4 linked regions of the Macaca fascicularis genome follow. The protein of the gene in region 1 interacts with the protein of each later gene in a pairwise test. Links are inferred from orthologs where the notes say so. Each region holds a gene or a part of one and is shown in the gene's direction. Other genes may lie near its edges.

The links.
Region 2: the proteins of GOPC (region 1) and CCDC102B interact in binary tests that used the Homo sapiens proteins (3 or more experiments, as listed by UniProt). The two-hybrid records come from large-scale screens. The link is inferred for Macaca fascicularis from reciprocal best matches to the Homo sapiens genes GOPC and CCDC102B.
Region 3: the proteins of GOPC (region 1) and DPYD interact in a two-hybrid assay, tested with the Homo sapiens proteins (2 studies listed by BioGRID and IntAct). The link is inferred for Macaca fascicularis from reciprocal best matches to the Homo sapiens genes GOPC and DPYD.
Region 4: the proteins of GOPC (region 1) and VTN interact in binary tests that used the Homo sapiens proteins (3 or more experiments, as listed by UniProt). The two-hybrid records come from large-scale screens. The link is inferred for Macaca fascicularis from reciprocal best matches to the Homo sapiens genes GOPC and VTN.

The regions. Positions count from the first base shown.
Region 1 is NC_088378.1:21,560,923-21,565,155, reverse strand, and holds the start of GOPC (Golgi-associated PDZ and coiled-coil motif-containing protein), read left to right. Parts: upstream 1-1,395; 5' UTR 1,396-1,616; coding exon 1,617-1,901; intron 1,902-4,072; exon of another isoform or gene 4,073-4,148; intron 4,149-4,233.
Region 2 is NC_088392.1:11,861,879-11,866,186, reverse strand, and holds the start of CCDC102B (coiled-coil domain-containing protein 102B), read left to right. Parts: upstream 1-1,421; 5' UTR 1,422-1,523; exon of another isoform or gene 1,524-1,794; intron 1,795-4,308. UniProt on the Homo sapiens protein: During interphase, forms fibers at the proximal ends of centrioles to maintain centrosome cohesion. During mitosis, dissociates from the centrosome following phosphorylation to allow centrosome separation. Contributes to CROCC/rootletin filament formation.
Region 3 is NC_088375.1:136,472,170-136,476,456, forward strand, and holds the start of DPYD (dihydropyrimidine dehydrogenase [NADP(+)]), read left to right. Parts: upstream 1-1,400; 5' UTR 1,401-1,512; coding exon 1,513-1,551; intron 1,552-1,779; exon of another isoform or gene 1,780-1,999; intron 2,000-4,287.
Region 4 is NC_088390.1:33,829,580-33,833,933, reverse strand, and holds the start of VTN (vitronectin), read left to right. Parts: upstream 1-1,467; 5' UTR 1,468-1,571; coding exon 1,572-1,635; intron 1,636-1,728; coding exon 1,729-1,848; intron 1,849-1,923; coding exon 1,924-2,268; intron 2,269-2,346; coding exon 2,347-2,486; intron 2,487-2,746; coding exon 2,747-2,903; intron 2,904-3,102; coding exon 3,103-3,255; intron 3,256-3,717; coding exon 3,718-4,065; intron 4,066-4,288; coding exon 4,289-4,354. UniProt on the Homo sapiens protein: Vitronectin is a cell adhesion and spreading factor found in serum and tissues. Vitronectin interact with glycosaminoglycans and proteoglycans. Is recognized by certain members of the integrin family and serves as a cell-to-substrate adhesion molecule.

The DNA.
Region 1 (4,233 bases):
CTAATCACATAGGTTTCTCTTTCCCTTTCTAGGATTGTCTACCCTTGCAGTGGAAGTAGGCAGAATGTAAAGGGAGGAGTTGCTGAATACTTTTAAAGGCACTGAAAAATTCAAGTTAAAGTTATAGTTGAGAGTTAGTAGCCTCACTAGCCTGTCTTGAGTAAAGGTCATGTCTCATTCATTTTTGTGTCTTCAGTGTCGCAACAGAGTTCTGCATTCAATATATTTGTAAATATATGAATTCACAATTTTGATTTTCTGAAATGTCACGTGTGGGAACGCCGTACGTTTTCAAATGTGCCAAATAACAAGGCTTCAGCCATGAATGGATCACATAAACTATGGTGATCCTATAAGAGTATATGCCATGTTTTTACTGTACCTTTTCTATGTTTAGGTAAGTTTAAATACACAAATAGTTACCACTGTATTGTAATTGCCTACCGTATTCAGAATGGCAACATGCTGTACAGGTTTACAGCCTAAGAGCAATAGGCTACATCATACAGCCTGGGTGTGTAGTAGGCTATACTATCTAGGTTTGTGTTTAAATACACTCTAGGATGTTCCCTAGGGGATGATTAACCTAAGGACACATTCCTAAGAACATATCCCCATCTTAAGTGAAGCACTACTGTAGTTGCTTTTGAAATGTGTGACCTATGGCGTATTAAGAGGAATACCGTGTGCCAAGAAGTGACGCTAAGAGTTTATCTTACAACTAACTGAGTTAAGTAAAATTTGGAAACTTGGTTTCGAGGTTAACTAAGACATGTAAGGTGACACAGGTAGTATGTGACAGAGGGTAAGAACTGAACGTTCACCAGGTCTACCTGACCCTTAATCACAATACAAAAAGTTTTCTATTAATTCCGCAAAATCTGGTCAGCCGCTTCAATGCGCAGCGTTAGGCAGTCCACACCTGGAATTTGGGGTTGGTTTACCAAGAACAGCCAGGGTGTACGCCCACTCCATCCTAACCAGGAACTGGAATCCAAAAGGTAAAACGTGGCTATTGCGCATGCTCACACCGCCCTTCCTTGCTCTCCCCTCCCTGACCCTAGACGCCACCGCAGCAACTTTCTGGGAGGACTTTGGAATAGCTCCCGCCAACTGTTAAGTCAAACCGGCGGAAATCCTTCCTTTCTGCGACGTGGACACCTTTCTCATCCTCGGGCCTTTCCAACCAGGATGCAGAAACCACGCGGCTCCGTTTCTCAGGGATTCAAGCCGTAGTTTGCCAGTTGTTAATATGGCGGCTAACAGGCAGGTCCCAAGCTGAGGCCTTTCATAGGCCAAGGTCGCATCCTGGCCCCGCCCATTTTGTCCCTCCAGGCTGCGTCCGCCCAGCTCTTCGCTACGCATGCGCAGCGGGGGCAAGCTGGGAGGTGGGACAGACAGAATCTTCCGTGTGTCGCCGCCGCTGCCGCCTCAGCCTCAGCCTCGTTACTCCTGCGGTTCTGTGGCTGTGTTGCTGGCGTTAACGGCGCGAGGTGAAGAGAGGTGACGGAAGGTGCGCGCGCGCGCGCGGGGGGTCCCCTCAGTCCCAGCAGTTCCCTTCGTGCGGGTGGGGCGGAGAGGGTCTTCAGCAGTCGGGAGAGGCCCTTGACGGCGCCATGTCGGCGGGCGGTCCATGCCCAGCAGCAGCCGGAGGGGGCCCAGGGGGCGCCTCCTGCTCCGCCGGGGCCCCCGGCGGGGTATCCATGTTCCGGTGGCTGGAGGTGCTGGAGAAGGAGTTCGACAAGGCTTTTGTGGATGTGGATCTGCTCCTGGGCGAGATCGATCCAGACCAGGCGGACATCACTTATGAGGGGCGACAGAAGATGACCAGCCTGAGCTCCTGCTTTGCACAGCTTTGCCACAAAGCCCAGTCTGTGTCTCAAATCAACCACAAGCTGGAGGTGAGCCGTGGGCGCTGGCGGCTATGGCATCCAACCCCGGGCTGCCCGGTGGCGTCAGATCCCATTTAACGCTCCAGTGAAACGACCCTAGAAAACTGCCCACCGGGGCTTCCAAATGTGATGGGAGAGTGCATGTCTGTGTGTGCGAAGGAGAGGAGTGAGGTGAGGGTGGGGGACAAAAAGGGCCCTAGACCGACACGTGAGTCTCCCCGGGGTACTGTCGTCCACCTTCCTAGTATCTCTCTGAGGCGGAAACTAATTACATACACTAGCCCCCCTTTTACGTGTTACATTAACAAACCTAACAAAGATTCTCTGTCATGAAAATACCGTAGGCCACCTTTTGACAATTGAGTTTTGCAGATCTACTTTCACATTGATAAACCGAATTTGTATATGTTCAGACAGATACAGCCCTGATTATTTTCATTTTAAATATTTCAGGTCAGCGCCTATTACTGCATACAGAGACATGCATAAACTATTTAGGGGAATCTGATCAAAGCTCTTAGGAAAATTTCGTGGTGCATAACGATAGTATCATTGTCTCGGTTTACATCCATAGTTGGTCCTTAAATTACAGGCAGATACCTCCAGAGAGCTTCCTGCAATTATTGAAATTACTTCTGACATTGAGTTTTTATATGCTTGTACATTACTGTGTAATTTTCCAAAGTCTAGATTTATTTTTGAGAGAGTATAAAGCATCATTTGCTTTAATCTCTGATGCTGGGTGTGGGTGAGGGTGGAGTGGCTGTGATTCAAAACAAAAAACTATCACGTTGTGCAGAAAATTTAAAAAGGGCATTATTACAATATTTATAAATCAAGATAGATTAACATTATTGCATAAAGAGTATTTTCTAACTAGGCAATTTAAGAGAATGGGTCTTTCTTTTCAAAAAGTATAATAGATAAAAATGGGATAATCAGTGATGTGCAAAACTCTTCGAACATTAGCTTTCCTAAGAAATCATTACTCGTTGTCATTGAGAGTGCCCATTGTATCTATATCAATATGAATGTCAGATAAACATCCTCTCCTTGCCTAGTGGTCAGCATTCTTTTTCTCCTATTAGCCATGAAGTATGTGGCATAATTAATCCTTGATTAACATAGATGTACATATCCAAGAATTGTGGCTCTTCTCCACTGCAAGAACTGTTAATTTCTTCTATCCTTTTTGAAAAGATTAGAAAGTGCTAATATGGCCGGGCGCGGTGGCTCAAGCCTGTAATCCCAGCACTTTGGGAGGCCGAGGCGGGCGGATCACGAGGTCAGGAGATCGAGACCATCCTGGCTAACACGGTGAAACCCCGTCTCTACTAAAAATACAAAAAACTAGCCGGGCGCGGTGGCGGGCGCCTGTAGTCCCAGCTACTCGGGAGGCTGAGGCAGGAGAATGGCGTAAACCCGGGAGGCGGAACTTGCAGTGAGCTGAGATCTGGCCACTGCACTCCAGCCTGGGTGACAGAGCAAGACTCCATCTCAAAAAAAAAAAAAAAAAAAGTGCTAATATGAAGGTAATCACTTCTTACTGTAGGTAAATGAAAACATCTCTTGATTTCTTTATTAGTATTAATTTTCACAAGAAAGCTATTTTTCTGATTTCATTCTGATAGTGAAATTACATTTAATGTTTTATAGAAATAGTACTTTAACTTTATTTCATTTTATTTTATCTTACTGTATTTAAAAAAAAAAGAGATGGAGTGCTTTGTTGCCCAGGTTGGTCTTGAATTCCTGGCCTCAAGTGATCACCCTCCTGCCTCGGCCTCCCAAAGTGCTTTGATTACAGACATGAGCCAGCTGTGCCCGGTCATTAGTTCTCTAGCTTTAAACAACAACGATCAAAAGTAGCTTTTGCCACATGATATAATTTGAATGTGTCCCCCAAATTTCGTGTATGGGAAACTTAATCCCCAATGTGACAGTACTGAATCTCCAATATGGGGCCTTTAACAGGAGAGTGGATTATGAGTACTCAGTTCTTATGAATGGATTAATCCACTCATAGATTGATTTGTTATTGGATTAATGGATGAATGAGTTATCATAGGAGTGTAAAAGTGGTGGCTTATAAGAAGAGGAAGAGAGACCTGAGTAAGCATGTTAGCATGCTCAGCCCCCTTGCCATGTGACACCCTATGCTGCCTCCATACTCTGCACAGATCCCCTGCCAGCAAGAAGGCTCTCGACTTCTCGAGATCTGGCCCCTCGACCTTGGACTTCTCTGTCTCCATAACTGTAAGAAATAAATTCCTTTTATTTATAAATTACCTAGTTTCTGGTATTCTGTCAACAGAAAGTGGACTAAAACATCACATGAGAA
Region 2 (4,308 bases), on another chromosome or scaffold:
AGCAAAAGAGGTCAAGAGGAAAACCGGGAGAGTGTTGTGCCAAGATAAGAGATGTCTTCATGTGGGCAGGGTTGTGAACAGTATGAAAGGCTGTGTAGATGTCAACTAGAAGAAGGATTGAGGTGAATTGGAAAAATTAAAAATAAATAGAATATTTATGTGCATGCATGTGTGTGTGTGTGTGTGTGTGTGTGTGTGTATGTGTGTGTAGTCACTTTGATGAATTAAAATCAGATGGATGCAAGACTAAATAAAATTCTTGGCTGGAGAACTTTCAATCATTTGGCCATGATGGAAGGAATGGTACCTGAAAGTGAAAATGACTGAATTGAAAGTAAAGTTCATCGGCATACATGAAATTGACCAAGGAATGTATGGGATTTAACATCTCGTGGGGAAAATCCGGACAAGAGGGAATGTTCAAAGATAGAGGAGCGAGAATCATGATTAAGTTTAGCTCGAATGGGTCAGTTGGCTTTATATAGGAAGCTGGCCACTTTTTCCATTGCATCAGAAAGTAAGTGGGAAAAGAATATTAAGTAGAGATAGACGATAACACCAGAATAAGCCTACAAATTAGGGAAGGGTGAAAAATAAAACAATTTGAAGACATTATTGCCTACATTTCACATGTTGTTTTTGTGCTACTTACAAGGAGCAAGTCAATCCTGTTACCTTTTGACTTTTTATTTTCTACTTTGGACATTTTTTACTGCTAGTTTCAACCACAGAAGCTCTCTTTTATGCGGTCTTTGACCTCCCCCGACAACCCCCATCAGAACACCTCCTGACAGCCGAGTCATGTCACTGGAAAGCTACTTCATATTCTTTTTCCCCAGGGAAAGGGGAAAAAGCCAGGGAGCTTTCACTGGGCACCCCAGGGACTACAGCTCACATTCCTGCCAATGTGACCACGATCAAGGGTTTTGATATACAGTTCTTGTTTCATAATTTGTATACTCAAATCTTTTATTAAATATGATTTCTTTTGCTTTTGATTTTGTGCAATCTAATGCAAATCAGATTGGATGAATATTTTATATTGTTCTTGTAATCTGCAGTATAATTATTTTAAATATTTTGCAGATAGGTACTTTCTAGGCTTTTATTTTGCTTTGCTATTTTAGTTTTTTCTATTATTATTACAAGTTATACTGTTGTAATTAAACATTAAGTACACTTGGGGATGAAGGCGTGGGTGTCTTTTTCTTTTTCATCCACAGTACAGGTTTCAAATGCTTGCATGGAAAGCTTTGGATAACCATACTTAGGGAACATTAAAAATGATTTTATTTTGGTTGGCTCAATGGTGATCCAAAGAGGGGGTTGTGGTAGTGGTTTCAATAAAATTTCACAACCAATGGGAATCTTTTTTGAGTTTGTGTGGAGTGCCCTTAATGCTGGAAATAATCCTGTTGGCTAGGACTCCAGAACTGTACAGATGAGAAAAGGATGCAGGAAATTCTGTTGTTTACACATGTGGCTGCAACTGAGACGCTGGAGCAGCCCAGCAAGCCCAGAGGGTAAGAGTGTTTAATAACCTTGTGGTTTTCTATTTAATTTTTATATTTTCCTGCTGAGGCAGAGCATGTGTTGTTCTCGGAGCAAAGACAGTTGCTTACAAGATGCAGAGCAAAACTACTGTAGAGCTGGGAAGCAGAAGGATTTGGAGTTTCTTTTTAAAGTGATTTCTTCCTTTCCTCTTTCATTTTTCCACTGTGGGTGTTATCATCCTGACAATTTGTCATACATTTCCTGTCTTTAAAAAATAACTGTATACTAAGCCAAACTCAGGTAAGAATTTCAACTCTACATTTAGACAGCAATAGTGTATGTTGATATTAAAATTTTGTTTCATAGTTCCAAATGAATGTGAATTAGTCATTGTGTTTGAAGGAATCTATATTCTTACAGTAAAAAAGTAAAAGTGTTATGAAAACCTTTCTATCTATGCCTCATGTGCCTTGAGTTCTTTTCATTTGTTGAGTCTTCATGCTAAATTATTGTATTCATTAATGGAAAGTATATTTCAAACTTAGCACGAATATTGATTTCTTTACGTGTTACGTGTATAATGTGGAGGAGATAGGGATACAGAATAAACTAATAAAATCCTGTGCATAATAACAATGATGTTTAGTTATATAGAAATAAATTGTAAAACTGAAAAAAATCTCTGGAAACCATCGAGAAGCATTTGCTTATGTTTTCTGCAAAGATAAATTATCAATTGAGTGTCAAGTGGGTACATTTATTCAATATAAGAAAGATTCTTTAAAAATGTAATTAGAAATATGTCAGTAACATAGGCACCAAAATATATAAAGTATTTATTGATGTTCTTATTTACATCAATGCCAGCTTTTCTGTTTTCTAAAATAATGTGAATGTGTTTTTGCTATCATTTTTGTGGGAAATAGTGTTATTACAACTTTTGAGTAAATATTCTCTTGTTAGTAAAATATGTTATTGACAATAAATATTCTTATATATCCAGTAAATATTCCTGAATTCTATTTCATATTTTAATGAAAACAATAAATTAGAGAGAAATATTTATAAGTTAGTGACACAGTATCTATGTAGGTTTGTGTGATGTATTTGAAAATATTCAGAAAAATGCTTTATGTGAATTGCTTTATTTTCCAAAATCTCATATGTTCTTATGAAATCATAGATCATTTCATTGTCTCTCTTTTGCATACTTCATATGTTATCATTGGAGTCAATAATTGCTTGATCACTGGGACATAGTTTTTGGGCCTCACTATGGGCGTGGCTTCAAAATAATTTATGATTGTTTTATCTAATTATTAGAGCCACAAAACTATGGCTGTAATTCTTAAAATACAAAAAATGATCTCAGGTCATCATATCTCTTATGCTGATATTACAAGACCAATTGAATTCTGCCATAATGCCAAAATATTCAGAAATTCCCTTTTTAGCAGGTATATCAGTCCTAAAGAGATGCCAGAGCCTTTAAAGAAAAGTTCAACTTCTTGAACTGAGTGTTGAAAAACTAGTAGAACTTGGATAGGTGCTGAAAGCAAGAGGAATACTCTACTTTGAACAAGTAATTGGCAAAAAGGGTTTTGAACATGAATTAGCACATAGCACAAAAGAACGGTGAGTAATTCATTGATTGGAGCAGAAAAAATATGCCTTTGTGAGTAGCAGACATTGTACTCAATACATAGAGCAGGAAAAATTTATAGAGCATCTTAACATTTCACACAGAAAAATTTGGTCTTTACATATCATACAAAGGGTCCAATTGCAAGTTTCTGAAAAGAGATGGAGTTTCTGTGCCTCTTTTCATCATCATTACCATCACCATCATCATCATCATTTTGCCAATACATAATAGCAGTTGCTGCATGCAAGATGATTTACATACATATCCACAATTTTTATAACTATGCAATAAAATGAACAATATTTTACACATTATTTTCATTTTGCACATGAAGGAACCTGATGTTCAGAAATGTTCAATGATTTGCTGAAAGCCACAGATAAAGATAGTGAGGGAACCAGAATTTCAGATGTATTTCTGGCTCCAGCGCTATTTCCACTATGCTGTACTGGTATTCTAGGAATGTGAATCTGGCAGAAGTCAAGCAGAATGGTTTGAAGTGGACATCGGGATTATAGGGTGCAGGGAGGAGGCAGTGAGACAACAGTCCAAAGATCCATTCCAATATTCTATAAATCCAGACCAATCACCATTCTGTCAGTTGGGCCACGCATTTCCTTTGGGAATTGAGAGAAGAGAGACTGACACTGCAAATAAGGGGTAATTTTTACATTTAAATTAGCTGCTCTCATATTCAACACTTATGCTTTTCTATCTCCTACATTTTCTTAAATCTACTTAGAGAAGATTATCTTTTGCATTCTCAGAGAAAATGTCATCACTGATTTGCATTGAATACTACCTATTCACAAATGAGACATGTGAGGTGGCCAGGAATGACACTGGGGATGCACTGACTTTCCTCTGTTTCTTTTTGATATGTGATATCAACAAACACACAGCGACCAAATAGTCTTAAAACTATGGAATCACCAAGTTATTATCAAGTAAAGGCATTGTATAAGTTTCATTTCAATGGGTGAAAAGCATATATAAAATTCACATTGTAATAGATAGTGTAAAATACAGTATATTCAAAGTAAAAAAGAATAGATCTTATTTATTAACATGTTTTTCTTCATATATCCAAACCTTAAACACATTGCTTTACTTCTTCTCAGAGTAGAATTAGTGTCTGGAATAACACTCATTTTCTTCTTCTTTTTTCA
Region 3 (4,287 bases), on another chromosome or scaffold:
AGTGAAATGGAGAAATTAATGATTCAAAATCTATTTGGGAGGTTGACTCCTCAGAGTTTGGGCATAGATTAAATGAGGCAATGAGGATAAAGGAGTCAAAGATGATTCTAAGGTTTCCATTTAACTTTCTAGTGTCTCTTAATATTTGATTCAAGAAAAATGTATCCATTTCTTAGTAAGTTCCAGGTCTGGAAGGCAATCTGATGGTTCAGAGAAGCCTTCTCAACCACTTAAGGTACCCATGCCCTAGCTATTCTGTCCTATTATTCTTTCATCTTACAAGCAGGCATCACATTTTGCTTACTTGCTTATTCTGAGTATAATCTCCATGAGAGTGATGTGTATTCCTGAAGATTATATCCGGAGAACCTAGCACAGTGTCTGTGACTGGCATATTGAAAATGCTCAATAAACATATTTGTTGAATAAAGCGATGAATGACCTAATGAAAAAATAATGATAAGGGAAAAATACCTGACTCCAAGGTGTCACTGTCTAGCCAAAAGCATGAAGGAGTGCCGCAAATGTCCTAACAGAAAGTGTTATGGTAGAAGAGATGTGGGATGCATCTAACGGGGGTGGGACGGGAAGAAAAGGAGAGAGGTCTGGAGTACAGAGATCCTCAAAAACAAGGTGAATGTTTTCTGGATTGGGACCAACTCTACAGGAAATCTCTCCCTTTTCCTCAGCAAGCTCTGGAGCAAAAATGAAGAGCAACTTTTCAAAAGAGCTTCACATTTTAGAATAAAAATATATTTTTAAAAATGACCATTAAAATGGGATTTTCCTGCAAAAAGACAACCTTGATTATGTACCACCTGCGGCACTTCCTGTATGCTGCTGCGGGCTGTGGATGTTTTTGCTCGCCTCCCTCCCCTCCCCGCAGGGACTGTGAACTCTCTGAAGACCCATGCTCTGTTATCCTCCACTGCAGTTCAAACCCCGCCCGCCTACTTGGTGGATGGATGGAGGAACATCTACTACTTCATCCCTGAGGAGTTCCTGAAGATGCAGTTGCCCCTCCGACAATGTATCTACATCTCGCGGGGTTTGTGCCGAAGAAAAGAAAAAGTGCAAGCTGTTGCTTGGAGCGCGGACTGCTTTTACCTTTAATCCCGGGGATTCCTCGTATCTGGCCCCGCCTGCCTAGCTCAGTTTTTAGCAGTTTAGAGAGTAAAGGCCAGTCCCCGGAGCGGGTGCTGTACTCCCTCCCTCCCTTCCGCTTGCAGAAGGAAAACAAGCTTCCAGGCTGGGGCGCGGAGCGGGCTGAACTGGGAAGGCCGGACTGCGGCTGCTGTGCCTGGCGCGGGAGCCGCAGGACCGAGCGCGCAGCCCCGCCCCGGGGGCGTTGCCGCCCCGCGCCCGCTCCGCGCCCGCTCCGCCCCCGCGCCGCCGGCCCTAGTCTGCCTATTTTCCACTCGCGCTCCGGCTGCTGTCACTTGGCTCTCTGGCTGGAGCTTGAGGACGCAAGGAGGGTCTGTCACTGGCAGACTCGAGACTGTAGGCACTGCCATGGCCCCTGTGCTCAGTAAGGACTCGGCGGACATCGAGGTACGGACTTCGCCTGGTTCGTCGGTGGTGGCGGGATGGTGGGGGGTGCCCTGCTGGTCGGTGCCGGGGAGGTCCCCGCGGCCACAGCGGCCTGGAGAGTGAGAGACGCGGGAAAGTTTCCCCCGTGGGAGATCTGCGGGGGAGGCGGAAGAGCGCGGAGCCAGAGACCCGCGTGGGCAGGCGGGGAGCGAAGGGGAGGACTTTCCGCAACTGGAGGGGGTGCCCTTTGCGTCGGGACCTGTTTACTTCGGAAGAGATTTCAGGAATCATGTCTTGTCCTGCCCCGAATGTCAGTGACTGAAGAAGCACCGGAATTCCAGAGAGGTGGACTCTAGGGGGTAGGAGCTCCTGTTTCCCACACGTTTTACCCCTTCACCTCCTGTATGTCGTTTCTGGACACCTCTCCACTGCCCCCATCTCCAGGAGCTGAATCCTGCTGTTTGCAAAGGTGAAATATAGAAATAAAACATCTGTGTGTCAGCTGTAGCAGTCGCCTCTAGCCATAGTATTATTTATGAAATAATTTAACATGGAGAGAGTGGAACAAAGTATTCAGAACATGAAAAATGCAGTGCCCTCAGAAAAACAAATGTATTTTTCTCTCCTCTCAACGGTTTTTGATTCCCTCTTGCACTCCGTTTCTGTTAAAAAGAAAAAAATCATCTTTTTTTTTTTTTTTTCTGTAAATAAGGTCCTACCTGAAACGACATGGCATTGCCTTTCTCTCTAGTACCTTAATACATGCGATGAAAAGGATTTAATTATAAACAGTGATTTTACACATACTAAACCAAAGTCAGCACTTTTGAGCTAAGACAAACTGCTTTTTAGTTTTCCGTTTTGTTTGGGGCTTTTCTTTATTTGAGTCTTCTACTCTGGTAGAAAATTATGTGTGTGTGTGGGTGTTTTCTTTAGAAATAACAAAATTTTCCTTTCGTCAGTCCTTTTGGCGGCTTAAGTAAAAGTTTTGCAAACCACCTGTTTGCAAAATAGCTGCTGTGGCCACATTTTGCCTCTGTAATTGATTGAAGAAACTTTATATTCTGGGAGGAGGTAGTCCTGTTTTCTCCAGCTCCCTAACTTGGTTTGAAAAATCATTTTAGTAACAAGAGCCAAAGTGTATTATGTAGACATCTCTAGTTAGTTTACTTTTGGTTTCTGTTATGGAGAGTTGACTTTTTGATATTGAGCAATATGATATATTTAGCAGATATTTGTTCATCTGTGTGCAGGATAAGAGATACTTGTCTTTTTCTGTATTTCATTTAGGGTAGTCTATTCCTTTTTGGTCCTTGTGACTTTGACTTAACTTTTTTTTTTTTTTTAAATAAGTTGAAAAACAAACTTTTGGCAGTATTACGGCAGTATTGATTTCAGATATCAGAGTTGTCTTAGGATGGGTGGCTTTTGGCTGTTTAATTTCAGAATAGTGTGTTATCTGCTTAACTGATTTCTTTCTCTGCAGTTGTCTTTGAAATCAGTTCTTACATTCTACTGAGGAGAAAGATGCCAGTGAAACATTGAATGCCCAGCTTGATTTCATATATTGTTTCAACTAAGAACATTTAAGAATCACATCCTTTCCACTCCCTCCACTGAATTCAACTTTAGTCCACACGGCCAGTTTGCCTAATACTACTTTTAGTCTAGATTCCTGGTGTTCAAACACCTTCAGCTCTTATGTAGTTCATATGTGCAACACTTTAATCAGTAACATCTTTCATCACTCACAGCACCTTACTTTTCCCTCAAAGTAATACCCGTGATTCATGAGCTGAAACACCATGAAAGAGCATGAAATTAATCATTAAAATATAATGCAGTGAGGAAAAATACATTAAGCCTAGGGGAGCACATTCAAGCATAAATGCCTCAGTTGATCCTCTTGACTCACCAAAGTTCATTTTTGTGTTGAAGAAGTAGAATGAATTATAAAGGCTCAGTTTTCCATCAAATTTGAATGCTTTTCTTGAACAAATTCATTACAACCATTGTCTAGAGATTGATCTGATTGTGATCATTGTTTTAGCTTCAAATACATGGATAAGCAAGTAATATTTTTAAAATATTGGTATGAAGCGGTTAATGAATGTGATAAGAACACATTGATAAATGTGAAAAGTACTTGACAATTGTTAAAAGAACAGAAGGTGATAACAACCTACTCTAATAGTAACTGACTTTTCTCTATGAGCTAACTACAGAACCTCATGTTTCAGTGAAACAGCCAAGAAATATCTTTGTTTCTGGTGGAAAAGTTATTGAGGTATATATAAAGGTGCTTTGTGTGCTTATTTCATAATTTCTAGTCTGAATCCAATATTCCCTCAGGATTTGAGGGTTAGGAACATGGAAAACAATCAGATCACCAAAATCCATAGCTGGAATATCCATGGACTGGGAGATAGGCAAGGATAGGATATGTTACTTGGTGATAGGACCTAGCTCATCTACTCAGAATTATTGTTGTTGTAATCATAGAAGTTGCATGAAAAATCAAGTTTTTTTCAGGTATATTAATGTGGTTCAGAGCCTGGCTTCTGAAACCAACTGCCTCTGATTGAGGTCTAACTTTAAGCTGTGTGTTTGGGCAAGTTACCTACCCTCTCTGAATTGCACATGGAAAATCTGCTAAGGAAAATAATAATAGTAAGGATAATCAACAAATGTCATAAGTTGACAACATCTTGTTGGAAAAAAAGGCCAACATGTTAAAAAATAAAGATAACAGAAAAA
Region 4 (4,354 bases), on another chromosome or scaffold:
ATCGGGGGCGCAGCGGTTGGCAACGGTGATGCAGGCCAAGATGCAGGGAGTGGGCGAAAGGAGAGAGAGAGGAGGCGAGGGATGGCTCCGGACGCCGGAGGGTAGAGGAGGCGGCGGCTGGAACAAAGCGTTGCCCGGGCAGGGGCTCGGCTGAGCTGGGAGATGCTCGGCAGCAGCCACGCCCTGGAACCGCAGCGGACCCGGGGCCGATGCCCCGCCTCTGGGTCCAGCGGGGCTCCTCCAGCCTCCTGCGCAGCCCCACCCCCAAGTCGTCCCCAGCCACGCCCACGCCCCTGGCCAGCCTTTCCCAGCCCCTCAGTCGCAGCCGCCTCCTCCTGCGCTGGACTTGGAGGAAGGGGGTCGAAAATGAGATGACAGTCTCCGTTCTCCACCTCCTCTTCCCCGCCCCGCGTGACACCAGTACGTGGGAGCAACACCGCTGCGTGCCCCCTCCCTACTAAGTGGTTAAAACAATCATCATAACTCTTAAGGCCCTTTTATGCCTGTTTCTCAGCTAGACCTCACAACATGCCTCTGGGGTGGGAATCGGTGTTCCATTCCACAGCTGACTCCACTGAAGCCCATGAGGAAGAGATTGGCCAAAATCACAGTCCCCTCTGATTACAGAACAGAAAAATCAGCTAAAATCTCAGGATCACTTTTTTTTTCAGGTGATGGCAGGACTTCAGAAGCTCTGTGGACACCTGAAATTGGGCACAAAATCAGGTGTTTCACGCCAGTGGGCATTTTCCAGGTAGAGGGATCGTATTTCTCTTGAGAGTCTAAAAGTGTGAACAAGCCCACTCTTTACAGATGGGAAGACTGAGGCTGGGGACAGGGAGTGACCTGCTCAGAAAAGACTCAGAAATCAAATCTAGTTCAGTGGGTTGATATTTACCCAAATTTCCAGCCTGGGGAGATTGATGCACCCAAGCGAAGAACCCAGAAATGAAACTTTGTTCTTTTATGCTAAAAAAGAAAATTCCCCAGAGTGCTTACAAATTCTCCTCCCACTCCCTTTTTCCTGCCCTAAATAAACAATGGCGAATGAGCACCCAGCCAGGGATGTGTCTGATCAAACAATCATGGATCAATAGCCATGTTTGGAGAAGGAATTTGTGACTGCTCCAGCTACTGGGCATTTTGTCTGTTCCAGTTCATGTAATCTCCCAACACCCCATGAGGCAAGGGGGTTAATCCCATTTTACTGAAACTGAACTAAGACTCAGAGAGATAAAGCTGTTGCCCAATGAGCCTTCTTTCTGGCCTCCAGATCCGCGGTGCTAATTCCCCTTCTGATGACCTAATGATTCTGAGCTTGGCAAAGGTCTTATCTCCCAGCTCTCCCAGGCCCAGTGTTCCAGGAATGTGACCTTTGCTGCAGCAGCCGCTGGAGGGGGCAGAGGGGATGGGCTGGAGGTTGAGCAAACAGAGCAGCAGAAAAGGCAGTTCCTCTTCTTCAGTCCCCTCCCTCCCTGTCTCTGCCTCTCCCTCCCTTCCTCAGGCATCAGGGAGGAGACTTCAGGGAGATCAGAGCCCAGCTTGCCAGGCACTGAGCTAGAAGTCCCACCATGGCACCCCTGAGACCCCTTCTCATGCTGGCCCTGCTGGCATGGGTTGCTGTGGCTGACCAAGGTACAGGGGGGTGTTGGTGGCCATCTGAGTCAATGTAGGGAGGGTGAGGGTGGCCCGGGCTTGGCAGCACCTACTGACACCCCTTCCTCAAAGAGTCATGCAAGGGCCGCTGCACTGAGGGCTTCAATGCTGACAAGAAGTGCCAGTGTGATGAGCTCTGCTCTTACTACCAGAGCTGCTGCACAGACTATACGGCTGAGTGCAAGCCCCAAGGTGTGTTCAGAGCCCAGGTGGGTGGGCTGGGGTGCCCCTTGCAGCTGGAGACTCACTACCATCCACTCTCTGCAGTGACTCGTGGGGATGTGTTCACTATGCCGGAGGATGAGTATGTGACCTATGACTACGGTGAGGAGAAAAACAATGCCACCATCCATGAACAGCCGGAGGGCTCCTCCCCGAGCCCTGACCTCCAGGCCCAGCCCGAAGGGAATCCTGAGCAGGCAACTGTTCTGAACCCTGAGGAAGAATCCCCTGCACCTGAGGTGGGCATCTCTAAGCCTGAGGGGACGGGCTCAAGGCCCGAGACCCTTCGTCCAGGGACCCCTGAGCTCCCAGCAGAGGAGGAGCTATGCAGTGGGAAACCCTTCGACGCCTTCACCGACCTCAAGAACGGTTCCCTCTTTGCCTTCCGAGGTGAATCCAGGGCAGGTATTGGGGATGGGGGTCTGCCCCAGGAGCGTCCCCGCTCTCACACCACCTCCTCCACTGTAGGGCAGTACTGCTATGAACTGGATGAAAAGGCAGTGAGGCCTGGGTACCCCAAGCTCATCCGAGATGTCTGGGGCATCGAGGGCCCCATTGATGCCGCCTTCACCCGCATCAACTGTCAGGGGAAGACCTACCTCTTCAAGGTGCCAGCAGCTGTGGACCAGGGTAGAAAGCATCTAGGGAGGGTTTGAGAGCTATTGCTCCCAGGGACAGGGTGGACAGGGAGGCTGGACCCAGGGCGCTGCAGGACCTGGTGGGCGCTCTGTGAGCACAGGGCAGCCCCAAGACTCCAGGTCCTGGGCAGTGAACCTGAACCTGGGAACGGCTGCCTTAGGGCAAGGGACTCTGCCTCTGTGCCTAGCCAGCAGCCTCCATACCCCTTTTCACTTTCCCCACCTCTTAGGGTAGTCAGTACTGGCGCTTTGAGGATGGTGTCCTGGACCCTGATTACCCCCGAAATATCTCTGATGGCTTCGATGGCATGCCAGACAATGTGGACGCAGCCTTGGCCCTCCCTGCCCATAGCTACAGTGGCAGGGAGCGGGTCTACTTCTTCAAGGGTACTCAGGGGGTGGGTGGGAGACTGAGCAGGCAGTGGAGCAGTCTTGGATTCCTTTCACACTTCACTGGGGACAGGCCTCAGCATGTGCCCACCCCATACCCCCACCTCATGCTGGGAGATCCTAACTTCAACAGCCTCTGGGATCTCCAGTCTGGCTCTGGCCCAGCCCTCCTAATGCCCACCACCCCGCTCCCCAGGGAAACAGTACTGGGAGTACCAGTTCCAGCACCAGCCCAGTCAGGAGGAGTGTGAAGGCAGCTCCCGGTCGGCTGTGTTTGAGCACTTTGCCGTGATGCAGCGGGACAGCTGGGAGGACATCTTCGAGCTTCTTTTCTGGGGCAGAACCTCTGGTATGGAGAGAGGGCAAGTCTTTCTTCTCCTTCAAAAGGGCTGAAACCCCTGGCTAGTGGTAGAGCCAGGTTGGCTGGAGGGGGCTGTGGTTGTGGAGCTATCGATCAAAGTCTATTTGCTCAGGCCAGACTTTGCTTCTGTTGACCTTTTGGGGGAAGCTCGGCTCTACCTGGACCCCACACCTTGGACTTTGCCTAGCACAGCCGAGGGCACAGCCAGCAGAGGGAGGGGCTATGGCTGAGGAGTTTAGGGGGCCTGGGGGTGGGGTGGGGTCTAGACACCAGTGATATGGTGGAGGGAGCACACAGTGAAGGGCATTGGACTGAGAATCAAAGGCCTGGCTCTGCCATTCGCTGCTGTGTGTCTTTGGGCAAGATGCAGCAGATGAACTCTAATGACCTTGCTGGAGGGGGCAAGATTCAGACCCCTAAGACCTCTCATTCACCCCTTCCCTGCCACAGCTGGTATGAGACAGCCCCAGTTCATTAGCCGGGACTGGCATGGTGTGCCAGGGCAAGTGGACGCAGCCATGGCTGGCCGCATCTACGTCTCAGGCATGGCACCCCACCCCTCCTTGGCCAAGAAGCAAAAGTTTAGGCGTCGCAACCGCAAAGGCTACCGTTCAGACCGAGGCCACAGCCGTGGCCGCAACCAGAACTCCCGCCGGCCATCCCGCCCCACGTGGCGGCTGTCCTTGTTCTCCAGTGAGGAGAGTAACTTGGGAGCCAACAACTATGATGACTACAGGATGGACTGGCTTGTGCCTGCCACCTGTGAACCCATCCAGAGTGTCTTCTTCTTCTCTGGAGGTAGGAGCCCTTGCCACCCCTGAAGCTGCTCTAGCTTGGGTTTTCCTTGCTGTCCCTGGTCCATAAGGGCTGAATACAGCCCGCAGGTAGTGACCACAGAAAGCCGGGCCAGAAGTCCTTAGCTGCATCGTGGATGTTCACTTTCCTTTCTGAGACTTTCTTAAGGGAAGAGTGGGCAGGGCCAGGCTGGGCCTCACGCACCCTCTGCTTTCCTCTCTTCCAGACAAGTACTACCGAGTCAACCTTCGCACACGGCGAGTGGACGCTGTGGACCCTCCCTACCCACGCT